3 linked regions of the Cricetulus griseus genome follow. The protein of the gene in region 3 purifies or fractionates together with the protein of the main gene of each other region. This does not show direct contact. Links are inferred from orthologs where the notes say so. Each region holds a gene or a part of one and is shown on either strand. Other genes may lie near its edges. The genes, in order: Usp12, Usp46 and dystrophia myotonica WD repeat-containing protein.

Region 1 (4,244 bases), on a different chromosome or scaffold from region 3:
TTACAGAGTAAAATTTCAATTCATTCAAAGTGTCTAAACCTTTTCGCAGCTGCTGACTCTCCGAGGCATCCAGTTCTAAGTCCAGGCTTCCTTCTCTCCACTGTTCCACGCCCAGCCTTACCTCTACTCCAAACTCACCTCCTGTGAGTAAATGGAGGACTGTTTCCACTAGTAAATGTGTACAAATGGTTAAATGGCAGTTAAGTCTTTAACTTCAAAGCCCTCACAGTCTAAACCTGGTACGATGATGTACACCTGAAATCCCAAGAGGCTGGGAGGTGGAGGCAGGACAATCAGGCATTCAGGGCAAGCCACCACTACATACCAAATTCAAACTCTATGCGACCTACAGAAGACCCTGTTTCAAAACACCAGCAGAGAAAAAAAAAAAACCTCATAACCTAATAAAAATGGGGGAGACGACACATGACATACTGCACAGCACTTCTGAGATCACAAAAATGCTGTGCAATTGTATGAGGCAAGTGGGCAGAGTGGTGTTGTTCAGGTCAGATGACCTCCTTAAAAGACAGCTGCATAGTCCATGGATGATGGAACAGTTCACATTCCAAGCAAAACAGAACCTACAGGGCCTTTGTCATTCCTGATTTTCACTTTCATAATTCCCAGAAGATGGACAGCAGCCCTCCTTACACTCTGACCTGTTCAGTACCTACTCAGGGAGAGGAGTAGAATTTATTCAAGTATGAACAAGATGCACCTGATCTTAATAGCACCTTTGGAACAATTTCTTTGGCCAGGCATGGATGTCTATTTATTTGCCAAAACGCATACACATACCACATGTCTAACGAGGGTGAGTTTGGGACATCCTTGACAAGAAGCCTTATTTGCTACAGAATCCTGGCAGGTACACTGTATTACTATGTAAATGAGAATTGTCTTCCTCAAGTAGAAAGTAAACACCATGAAAGTAGGGGTTGCCTTTTGTTGTGGGCGTGTTTTTTCAAGACAAGGTCTCCCTATGTGTAACTCCATCTGCTTAGAGCTTGTGATCCTTCTGCATCCAGAGTCCTGGATGTAGAAGCATGGTCGAAAACGTCCTGCTAGAGACGGCCAGAATCATTTCTGTATTGCCAGTGCTAGTCAGCAGGTGCTAAATGTAAACTTGATGTAACTGAGTGAAGGAACAGTCAGTCCATGGGAATCACACCACTCCTGAAGCCCTAGACTTTGACAATGAACTATGACCCCAAAAGGTGTGGAGCTCAGCAATCTGGTAAAATTATCACTGTAAAAGATTCAATCCTATGTGGCAGGTCTAAAGTAATGAGTACAACCAACCCCAGAAACTGTTAATATAGCCCCTTTCTGAAGACCATGAAAGAACAATTATTCACGTGGGGAAATCGATTCTCCAGTGATTCCTTCTTGCTGTGACTTTTTTGATGCTGTGGACTGTAAACCCACGGATTCCACCCTTTTTTAAATACTGTTCCACAAAATGCAGTAGAAAATCCACTTTTCCTACCTGATTCTCCACTCCTTAAAGCAAAAGCACAGATCACTTTCAGGTGGAAAGTCTGGGGATCTCCTAGATGAAATCCAGGACATAAAAACGGAACAGGATGGTGCAAATCTTTGGTAATGTAACTCCAGACCCACACTGCAAATAATAACTTTTTCGGTGATTCATAAATCGCAACCTCTACGTACAAGTTCAGAAAGGAGCTAATGAATTTGTCACATCATGTGGGAAACTGTGGTGGTGCTTCTGGCAATGCACAAAAAAACACGTTTAGGAACCCACCCACGTTTCGCTCTATTCGGGGTCTGTGTACTTCAACCCCACACTGCGGCGTCTGCTCTATTAAAGTAAAACAAATGACAGGAAAGCTAGTGCAGCTTTTCAAGATTAACGCGGACTCTCAGCGACAAGGCTGCCATCTGGACGGACACAGGTTGGAAACCGCAAGAGTTCGTTTCTCCTCGGCGAGTAGAAAATAGAGAACATTTCAACAGCACTCTTAAAACTTTCCACCGTCACACGCCCCCTTCCCGAGCCCGGGCCCCGGGACTCCACCTAGCCCGAGGAGTAACTCTGCCAGGACTTCCGTCCTCCGGCAGGATCGAGACCCTTCCTTCCTGCCGCAGACCCCCGCCCTACCCCGCGCTCAGACCCACGGAAACGCAGCGGCCGCCGCGTCCCTTCCCCTGGCCCAGTCCCCTGGCTTCCCGGTACCAGTTCCCAGTACTCGGCCCCCAGCCCTACTCCCAGCCTGCAGCCCTTGGTCCTAGTCCCCAGTCCCCCGTTTAGAGTCTCCGGCTCCAGCCCCCAATCCCAGTCCCCACCCCTAGTCCCTAAGTCCCCAGACCCAGTACACAGCCCTTACCCCTACCCCCGCCCCTGAGTCCCCAGGCCCTAGCCCCCAGGCACAGTACCCGAACCCCCGGTCCCCAGACCCCGAGTTCCCGGTCCCCAGCTCCGGTCCGCAGCTCGGAGCCCCGGGGTCGGTCCCAGCCCCGCCTGCTGCGTCCAGCACGCCTTCCCCACGGCCACTCGGCCCCGCGCCCTGTCCGCTCGCTCTAGAGCAGGGCCGCGGGCGGCGCCTCGAAGGCGGGGACCCGCCGCCCGGGCCGCGCTGCCGCCGCACCTACCATGGTACAGATGGAGGCGAATTTGGAGACTGTCATTAGGATTTCCATCCGCCCGGCGCCATCTTCCAGACAGTCGCGGCGGGCGGGGGACGCGGGGAGCCGGGCCGCCCGCTCGCTCCGCAGCCCGCAGCCGCACCCGGAGCCGCCGTGGACCCACGCTTCTAGCCTGCTGGGCCGCCGCTGCCGTCGTCGCCGCGGGCACTCAGGCTTCCTCCGGCCCAGCCCCCGCCCGCCCGCCGGCCCGCCCGCCCCCGGCTCCGCCCCGGCGCACGGCGCAGCCGCCGCCTCGGGGCCCGCGCCTGCCCGGGAAGCCGCTCGCCGCACACCCCGCCCAGCGCGCTGGGGAGCGAGCTCCGCGCAAGGCCCTTCCGCCCGGCCGACCTGGCAGCGTCGTGCCGCCCCGCCCACTCTGCCGCCGTCACGCCCACCGCAGCTGTGCCACGCCCATGATGCCCCGCCCTCCCTCGAGGGAGCGCGCTTTGAGGGAGACGGCTCCACCCAGTGCGTGTCGGGGGCGGGGCGAGACGGGGGCCGCGTCCTACTTGCTTCTGGGTCCTAGCGCGGGCACGCAGTCGCCACCCTAACTACGAGAGCGTGTCTTGGGGAAAAGCGCGATGCTTTTTGCCCTGCGGCGTCAGTGACCGTAAGCAGCCTTCGGAGCGACTGACCCACAGCTCTAAAGGACAGCTAGCGCCACTGTTGAGACAGAAAACTGAGGCTATGCCTGGGAAACTGTGGATGAGTTGGAGAGCAACCCCTCCAAAGCGTCCCAAGCACTTGGTGTTTTTCTGAGCCAAACTCCCTTCTTAGAGACTAATTAGGTAAAAAGACAAACAAGTATGCCTATTAGCTCTTTGAATTAACAGTAGTGGGGGAGGAGAGGAAGGGGAGCCAATCCTGCTTGACAGTGGGATATCAACTCGGAATTTTTGAAGGAGGGGTGTTGATGTCCGAAGAAGGAAGCTGCAGCCAGAGTGTGAGGAGCACATGCGCAGTGTTAGCTAGTGGACGGACCCCGCAGAAAATTCATAAGATCAATCGCTACATTAGAAAGCCTGTGGTTTGTTTTGATTGGCGATCTGAGGGTAGGAACCTTTTCTTCCTCCCACAGCACCCCCACTTGTCTGTGGAACTTAGGGCCTGAATTCAGACAAAGCTCTAAAACCTGGTAAGCCTCACTTTATACAAAGCATTAAAGAAACAAAGAATTCGAACAAAATTTAGTCGAGAAATGGATTTCTGGTACATGAATGCTGTTTCCATAGCAATTCCATTGTAAGCGTCGGGGGGGAGGGGACACCACCGAGTACTGCTAAGCTCCCCTGGCAGCTGCCTCTCTCCAGGTGCCTACCTGCATACAGGAGGAGTCTCCCTCTTTAATATAGATACCATACCATGCCAGGGGCTTGGACTCTGGTTGACACCAGTCAAGTCTATGCAGTGTCTGCTTGCTTGGCTTTCGAGCATGGGCCTACAACATCTATGTTTTAAAGGTCAGGGTGGAGGCTGAACATATGGCTTAATTGGTAACGTGCTGTGTGGGGTGTAGGCGTTCCTGGGTTTCATCTCAGCACTTCATAAACCCTGGTATGGTAAGGTCATCCTCAGCTATGTAGCGAATTCAA
Region 2 (4,239 bases), on a different chromosome or scaffold from region 3:
CTGCTAGCCCTACAACTCCTCAAACAAGCTGGGGATCAAAAGGAGAAAGCAGGAAGGATCAAGTAAGAGACCTGGTGAGAAACACAGGAACAAGTGAGACCCAGAAGAGACCTACCTGGAAACAATTCATCGTTAAGTGAGGTCTCTACACGGAGGTAGAGTGAGCTTGTATCTCACGGTGGGGTCAGAGACAGCAGTCTCCACATCACCACTCTTCTCCACTGGGAAATGAGAATGGGAGGGGCAGAACCGACCTGAGCAGCTTTTTATAAGGGGCGGGGTTTCCAGTTCCCACCCCAGCTTTCCTAGAGTGTCATTCAGACCGGCTTTGCATAAGTGACTCTATGGACTGTTTCTATTCAGGTAGGAGAAGACATGATTTCCATGGCCCCTGAAATGACTGGAAGGTGGCATCACAATGAGAAAGAAAGTACTGAGCAGAGCGGCTGGAACTAACTCACTGAGAACTCATGGCCCTGAGCCCCAGGAACTCATCACTCAACACAACCATTATCAGCCCATTTCTACAAGTCAACAGCAAGGCAAAGAGCACTGTGATCAGAGAAACAAAGCTGGTGTGTGCTGCAAGCAGGACTTGAGAGGTGGGTGAAGAACACCTGTCATCCAGCGTTTAAGGCAGTCTCAAGCTGGAGGTCTACCTGGGCTATTGAGACTGTCTCAAAAATCCAAGCCACAGATAAATACATCAGCAGGATTGAACCTAGAGCCTTACCTTAGAACGCAAATATCTCTCCACTTGCTTAAACAGGAAGGTATTAGGTTTACTTCACTATGGGAAGGGGTGGGCGCGGGTAATGGGCCTTAACTTGGTACTTTTAGGTCACCAGAGGAAGCATTGATTCTATTGACACAATACTGGCCCATTTCTTTCATGCCCTCCCAGAAGCTTGTCTCTCTGGCTGAGTTTCACTGAAAACAGGTTGTGACATTATGTCCAGGTGTGCCAAGAAGTCCTAGCTACAGCAAGGGCAAGAACAAGCCAGAGGCAGACTTCCTCTTGGGACATGCTAGCTCTCGAGTTTCCACCCTGCTTCAATACTGAGAAGTGTCACTGAATACAAACTGGACAAGAACAGCATCACAAGCAGGCACTGAGTCTCAGGAGCCTGTAGGCCTGAGGCCACCCCCACAGGTGGGAAAAACAGCATTCAAGCCACTGTGGTTTCACAGTTTGCCCCAGGAGCTGGGTTACAGCAAAGACACTGAGAAGAAATACATTGTCTTCTCAGGGCATCCATTGACATTAATGCCACTGGACAGGAACCTGTGTCTTCAAGCAGAAAGAGGAAATGTCAAGGCTGCAGGAGCCACTGCCATCATCTAAGGAGACCTGTACCACCAAGCAGGCAGCCATCACTCTGGGAGCTCCTGCATTTGCCTTGCTGGCATGGCCTTGGCTGCCGGTGCTGAAAGCTGGAGCCAGCCTCAGCAGGTCTCAACTCCACCTGAGCTAACACATGGCTCCTTAATGCTCTGTGCCATGTGTTGATCTTGCAACAGAATGTGGGACAGAAGATTTAAAAGGCTGTGTGAGGGGGGAAGGGCAGCCAGATCACCTTACCTAAAGCCTTCTTAATCAGGCCTCCTCAGATTCCCTTTAGGGGCTAGTATTACTATCTATCTGGTGGGGTGAGGGGGTCCCCAAAATGGCAAAAAACACCAGTGTTCCAGCTTGAAGGGGCTCAGAGGGGAGAGGATCCAGAGAGTGTAGGCAGAGCCTGAAGCCCCACACAGTGGGCAATGCCTTACCCCCAAACTGACCTCCCTAAGGCTCTCACAAGTGGAGGTAACAGGGGACCCAAAGGCTGGAAACAGGTCTCAGGGAAACTAAACAGGACAGCAAAGTAATGGGGAAAATCCACACTGAAGTGACCGGTGGGTTATGCCCCACCTCCCACTCCCCACTCCTCATGCCCCCTCAGTCCATCACAACGGTGACATGCCGGGCAGTGCCCAAGCTAAGTGGAGAGGAGGCGGGGCAGGATGACCCCTGCAGACTTCCTCACACCCACAGCTGCCTCGCTCCCCCAGGGCCTGCAAATGTTACTGCCGTACAATCTCTCCTGCAGGTGGGGTAAACTGAGGCCTCCAGAACAGATCCGCCTCCGTGCTTTCTGATACCCGGCTTTACTTCACCTCTCTAGCCAGATTCTGCACTTGAATTTTTTTCCACTGCTTTTATGTCTATCCAATTTCTCCCGGTAAGAGCACTGCTGTTGCAAAGTGAATCTTAAATACAATCGAGGCTGAACTCAGAGGACAGTCAGGGAGTCCGACGAGGGTTTATTTACTGCACCAGGAGGATCTGCGTCCTCCCTCTCCGGGCTCGTACCCTCACGGTCCTTCCCCGGGACATCGGTGTGCCACCTCGAGCCCTTCGCCCCCACCCACCGCCCACCGCCCACACCGCAGCTAGAGGGCGGGGGCATGGGGCCGCCCTGGGGATCCCCGGGATCTACTAGGTCCCCAACTGGGACAGAGGCTAGGGACTGCGGTCAGCCGGCCCTGCCCCGGGGCCGGGAACTTCTGGCCGCACAGCCCCTACGGCCACCACGGCGCGCGTGCAGCTCCAGCCCGGGGTTCCCTTTCTTTGCCTGACTCGCCGCGGGCGCGACCCCCGGAGGCTCGGCGGCCACTCACCATATTACAGATGGAGGCGATGTTTCGGACAGTCATTAGTCTAAAGGTTGCAGCGATCGCGCACCGCCATCTTTACCAGGGGAAAACGGGACTGTCCATGGTGGCGCGCAGCGAGGCCGGGCGGCGGCGAGGCGGCCTGGGGCCGGCTTGCAGTGGGGTTGGCGAGAGAGGCCGGGCGCGGCGAGGGCGGGCGGCGGCGCGGGCGGGGAGTGGCGGAGCGACGCAGCCGGGGCCGCGGCCGGCGGGAGGAGGAGGAGCCCGGAGTCGAGAGGCGCTGAGCCGGGAATCCTGGGCTCACGCTGCCAGCCTGCTCGTCCCCCCGGACTCGCTCGCCCAACCCCGCTGGAAGCCAGCCGTTCTTGCTCCGCTGCCCCAGGGTCCTGCTCCGCTCAGGCTGCACCGAGAGACGGTCCCCAGATAAACCCAGCACCACGGCCTTCCCGCCTGACCCAGGACCGCACCGGGCGCTGGACGCTGGCCGATCGCCGGCCGGGGACCTGCACCGCGGGAACACGAGAGCTCTCGGTTCCCGATTTCCCTCTGTCTGTTTCCCTCTGTTCCTGCTGGTCTCCAACAAGCCTTGAGCTTTAGGTGTTGGTTAGCGGAGGATATAAGGAGTAGGGGTGACTGTAGTCCAACTTTAAAGTTTCTCGCCTGGGTTTCAGCCAGATGGCATCCGCCGGAACCCGAAAAGTAAAAACGACCAGGACATGGGCGTGGCCAGAAAGCCCTAGCCAGCAGTAACCCCGAAGCCTGGGAAAAGGTCTGCCAGAAAGGAAAGAATTCCGGATCTAGGCAGATAACTGTCGGAGATTTGTGACAGAGGCAGAGGTTCTAGGCGGTACTAGAGGCTGTCCAGGAAAGATGAGAACAAAACTTCCGTATCCCCCACCCGCGGAGCTCCTGATCTCAGCTTTGTGAAATGGACGCTGTTTGAGTTTTTACATGTCCTGCAGAAGCAGAGACCTCAGGTTGCAAATGTGTACCCCGCTTGAAGAATAAGTTCATGAGGATTGAAAGAATCCATCTCAAACGTGGGGAACAATTGTGTAGACAAGGTTACAATTCTATGCTTCCCACAGGGAAGCAGTGCTTGTGAAACGTGATAAATTGCTGGGCCAGTGTGTTTTGTGACAAATTAAATTAGGAGAGAAATTAATATAATTGAAGACAGCTTTATCTAGCCAAAAGTAACTAACTGGGGGAAAATAGGTTTATACACATAACATGTGAGAGTTGTCCATTGGTAATTCTAGGACCTGGGGTGGGAATAGAAGACAAACACTACTGACTGAAGATTTGGGGGATCAAGTGGATACTGCATTTTTCAGTGTGTAGAAGGACTAATATTCCTCCTCACACTTAGTCATCCTACCTAAAATTTATTTTTAATTTTTTTACTGCTGCCAGTTACGATATACTTTAGGAGTCCTTCAACTTCTTCCATGACTATGCGTAATAGGCACAATTAGCTCCATAAGGTTTAGAGATCAGGTGTCCTACCCAGTTTCTGCTACCCAAATGGCATAGATGCAGGTGTGCTAACCTCAGCTGGGCACCATTTTGGGAAAAGACATT
Region 3 (4,183 bases):
GTCCCTCACTGAGATTGTCTTCCATGGGATTCTAGGTAATTGAACGTCAAATCGACAAAGCCGACCATGGTCAGGAAAACAAAACCAGAAAACGGGGACCGACTCAGCCAGGCAGGGAGGGCTTCCTTCCCTTCCCTGTGTCAGCCGCAGGGGAGGGACCACAGGAAGGTTTAGGCTGCCAGGGGGACATGGGAGGGCAGAGGAGGCGCCCGCTAAATGAAAGGAGGAGCTGGGTGTGGCTGGCGTCTCAGGTCTGAAATCCAAGCACTTCCAGAGGCTGAGGCGAAAGGATTGGGCCCAAGTTTGAGGACAGCCCGGGCCACAAGCGTGAGACAAAAACCAGCGTCGGTGAGATGGCCCAGTGGGTAGGGGCACTTACTGCCAGGTCCCATCCCTGGGGCCCCCAAGGTGGGAGGGGACTCGACTCCCTCTGACCGCGCCATTGTGCGGGTCCACGCAAAAAAAAAGCAAAAATAAATAAATGCAGTAATTTGTTTAATTAAAAAAAATGCAAAAATAGGGCTGGAGAGATGGCTCAGAGGTTAAGAACACCGGCTGCTCTTCCAGAGGACCTGAGTTCAATTCCCAGCAACCACACGGTGGCTCACAACCGTCTGTGATGAGATCCGGTCCCTCCTCAGGCGTTCAGGGACAGACACATGCAGACAATGTTGTATACATAATAAATCTTTTAAAAAAAATGCAAAAATAAATGCAGTCATTTGTTTAATTAAAAATGCAAAAATAGCCTGGCGTTGGTGGCGCACGCCTTTAATCCCAGCACTGGGGAGGCAGAGGCAGGCGGATCTCTGTGAGTTCGAGGCCAGCCTGGTCTCCAGAGCGAGTGCCAGGATAGGCTCCAAAGCTACACAGAGAAACCCTGTCTCAAAAAAAACCAAAAAAGAAAAAAAAGCAAAAATAAATGCAGTCATTTGTTTAATTACAAAAATAAATGCAGTAATTTTTTAATTAAAATAAAAAAGAATCGCCTGGAGTCGTCTGTAAAACCCGAGGAGGATGCTCAACAGAGCCTGAGGGTTCTCCGTTGCTAGGCAAACGGCTCCCTGGGCGCGGTCGTCAGGGCCTAGGGCGTGGCTCTGGGCCACGCCCCCACGGGCCGGCGTCGGTCGCTGGCTGGCTCGCTGGCTCCCGTTGGCCACGCCCACACCGCCCGCGACCCCGCCCCCCAGCCCCTCAGAACCGTTACCTCAGCAACCGCCCGGGCTCCTCCCGCCTCCGGCTCGCGGGGTGCCAATCGCAGAGGCGTCACCCCGGACGGACGACGACCCTCCCACCCCTTCCGGCGCCAGGTCCGCAGCTTCCGGCTGGGTGGCGGGTGTGTGGGGTGGGGGGGGTGTCGAGCGGGCGAGCGGGCGAGCGGGCGAGCCCCCCCCTCCCCTCGCGGGCGGCCAAGATGGCGGCGGGCGGCGCTGAGGGCGTCGCGGGCCCGGGCGGCGCCATGGGCGAGTGCGCCGAGATCAAGTCTCAGTTCCGCACCCGCGAGGGCTTCTACAAGCTGCTCCCGGGAGACGCGGCGCGCAGGCCGGGCCCGGCCTCGGCCCAGACCCCGGCGCCGCCTCAGCCCCCTCAGCCGCAGCCGCAGCAGCAGCAGCCGCAGCCCCCTCAGCCGCCGCCCGGGCCCGCCTCGTCCCCGCCGCCCGCCGGCCCCGGCCCGGGTCCCGGCCCCGGTCCCGGCCCGGGGCCCGCGCTGCCCGCCGTCCGCCTCAGCCTGGTGCGCCTGGGCGAGCCCGACGGCGACGGCGAGCCGCCCTCCACGCCCTCGGGGCTCGGCTCCGGCCGAGACCGCGTCTGCTTCAACCTGGGCCGCGAGCTGTACTTCTACCCCGGCTGCTGCCGCCGCGGGAGCCAGCGGGTGAGCCGCTCGCCCGCCCGCCTCAGTCCCCGGTGGCCCCCCCGGGGTGTCCCCCGGCGAGCCCCACCGCCTCAGGCTGCCTGAGGAACGTTGCCGTGCGGGGTTCTTTGGGGCGGGACCCGGGCCCGGATGCCCCGGGGGGACAGGCACGGTGCGGGCGGTGCGGTGTTTTTGGGGACACAGTCGTCGTCCCCCCCCCCGGGAGGTGGGGAACGCGGGGGAAGGGGGGCCGCCCGCTTGGCGCGCGGGAGGAGGGAGTCTGAGAACCTAACCAGACCCAGGCGGGAGTGGGGAGCGTTTGCTAAGGGGTGGAGATGGCAGTCGCACAGGTTAAAAAAAAAAAAAAAGGCTGCAGGTGTGGCGTAGGGGTGGGCGGACAAAGCGACGGTATTGAATGGGATCCTAAGGAGTGCGGTGTCCTGTCAGGAGTGCGGTGTCCTGTCAGGAGTGCGGTGTCCTGTCAGGAGTGCGAGGGGACACGGAGGGGGTTGGGTGGGACGTGAGTCTCTGGCAGGGGCCATCATCCCCAGGTGAGGCAGACACCGCTAAAGCAATTGAGTCCTAGGAGCGGGAGGGAGGGAGAGAGACAGTGACAGAGAGACAGAGGGAGAGAGGGAGAGAGACAGACAGACAGACAGACAGACAGACAGACAGTGACAGAGAGACAGAGGGAGAGAGAGAGACAGTGACAGAGAGAGAGACAGAGTGAGTGAGAGAGAGAGAGAGAGGGGGGGGGAGAGACAGAGTGAGTGAGTGAGAGAGAGAGACACACACAGAGAGGGAGAGAGAGAGACAGGGAGAGGGACAGAGACAGAGAGACAGAGAGAGACAAAGACAGAGAGACAGAGGGAGAGAGACAGTGACAGAGAGAGAGACAGAGTGAGTGAGTGAGAGAGAGAGACACAGAGAGACAGAGGGACAGAGACAGAGAGACAGAGGGAGAGAGACAGACAGAGAGGGACAGAGATGGAGAGAGAGACAGAGAGGGAGAGACAGAGACTGAGGGACAGAGAGAGACAGAGGGAGAGAGAGAGACACACACAGAGAGAGACAAAGAGATAGAGGGGGGACAGAGAGAGGGAGAGACAGAGGCTGAGGGACAGAGAGAGACGGAGAGGGAGACAGAGAGGGACAGAGGGACAGAGACAGAGAGGGAGAGAGAGAGACAGAGGGAGAGAGAGGGGGGAGAGAGACAGGGGGAGAGAGACAGAGGGGGGAGGGGCTCCTGAGAGTCCAGGGGTGACCGTGTACCTAAAATATGAGGGAGCGTGATGCCTGATGGGTGTCTCAGCTATGACAGATGTCCTGAAGTTTAGGGACTCCAGATGAAAGGCAATGACGCCTTGGAGATGGCTCTGTGGGTGAAGTGTGTGCTTTGAAAGCGTGCGGACCTGAGTCTGGACCCCTGGGGCCCATGTAACCGCGTGAGCTCTATGTATGAGTCTGCAGCCGCAGTTCAGGCGGCAGGGCCAGGGGCCCTGGGGCTCGCTGGCAGCGGTCTAACTGCACTGCTGAGCTGCTGGTTCACTAAGAGCCCCTATGTCAAATGCTAGATGGAAAGCCACCCAGAAAGATGCTGAATGTTGACCTCTGACCCCCATTCCCATGCATAGTGCACACACATGCACAAAGGCATATGCCACATGTACAAAAAAAAATGGAAGAAATCCTAGGATGTTGGGATTTTCGAATCCTTGGGTCTGGGTCTGGGGTGGGGGGCTCCTGAAATACCGTGCTGAGTCCCACTGGAGTTGTCTTTGGATGTGGCTGGGAAGACTGGAGGAGAGTCAGCTCCAGGCCTTTGGGGACACTGTGGTCTTCACTGGGTGGCCTGCGTGTGAGCATGTGGTGCTGTCCTGGGTTTGAGTCCCCTCTCAGTCTGTGGTGGCCTGCCCCTCCCCAGCCTCCTGGCCACTTCCCTCGAGGTTAGCCCTGCTTCCTCTGGGTGGTTTCCCCGACCTCAGCTTCCGCTCCGTCCTCTCCCTGCTCTCACCCGCTAACTAACTCTCTTCCCACGCACGGCTCAAGTCCATTGACCTCAACAAGCCCATCGACAAGCGCATCTACAAGGGGACCCAGCCCACCTGCCACGACTTCAACCAGTTCACGGCCGCCACAGAGACCATTTCCTTGCTGGTGGGCTTCTCTGCCGGCCAGGTGCAGTACCTGGACCTCATCAAGAAGGACACCAGCAAGCTTTTCAATGAAGAGGTGACTGAGGGCAAGAGCCACCCCTTCTTGTTTACCTACCCACCCCCACACTAAGCTGCCTGGGAACAGAGTAGGCTTGAGAGGGGCCGGGTGAGGGAG

Evidence for each region.
Region 1: the proteins of dystrophia myotonica WD repeat-containing protein (region 3) and Usp12 purify together in Homo sapiens (affinity purification with mass spectrometry; 3 studies listed by BioGRID and IntAct, with this or other methods). This does not show direct contact. The link is inferred for Cricetulus griseus from reciprocal best matches to the Homo sapiens genes DMWD and USP12.
Region 2: the proteins of dystrophia myotonica WD repeat-containing protein (region 3) and Usp46 purify together in Homo sapiens (affinity purification with mass spectrometry; 5 studies listed by BioGRID and IntAct, counting the BioPlex papers as one, with this or other methods). This does not show direct contact. The link is inferred for Cricetulus griseus from reciprocal best matches to the Homo sapiens genes DMWD and USP46.

What each region holds. Positions count from the first base shown.
Region 1 is NC_048597.1:82,630,844-82,635,087, forward strand, and holds the start of Usp12 (ubiquitin carboxyl-terminal hydrolase 12), read right to left. Parts: upstream 2,914-4,244; 5' UTR 2,668-2,913; coding exon 2,620-2,667; intron 1-2,619. UniProt on the Homo sapiens protein: Deubiquitinating enzyme that plays various roles in the regulation of the immune response and inflammation.
Region 2 is NW_023276807.1:140,561,371-140,565,609, forward strand, and holds the start of Usp46 (ubiquitin carboxyl-terminal hydrolase 46), read right to left. Parts: upstream 2,842-4,239; 5' UTR 2,698-2,841; coding exon 2,662-2,697; intron 1-2,661. UniProt on the Homo sapiens protein: Deubiquitinating enzyme that plays a role in behavior, possibly by regulating GABA action. May act by mediating the deubiquitination of GAD1/GAD67.
Region 3 is NC_048602.1:28,288,014-28,292,196, reverse strand, and holds the start of dystrophia myotonica WD repeat-containing protein, read left to right. Parts: upstream 1-1,377; 5' UTR 1,378-1,414; coding exon 1,415-1,873; intron 1,874-3,901; coding exon 3,902-4,084; intron 4,085-4,183. UniProt on the Homo sapiens protein: Regulator of the deubiquitinating USP12/DMWD/WDR48 complex. Functions as a cofactor that promotes USP12 enzymatic activity.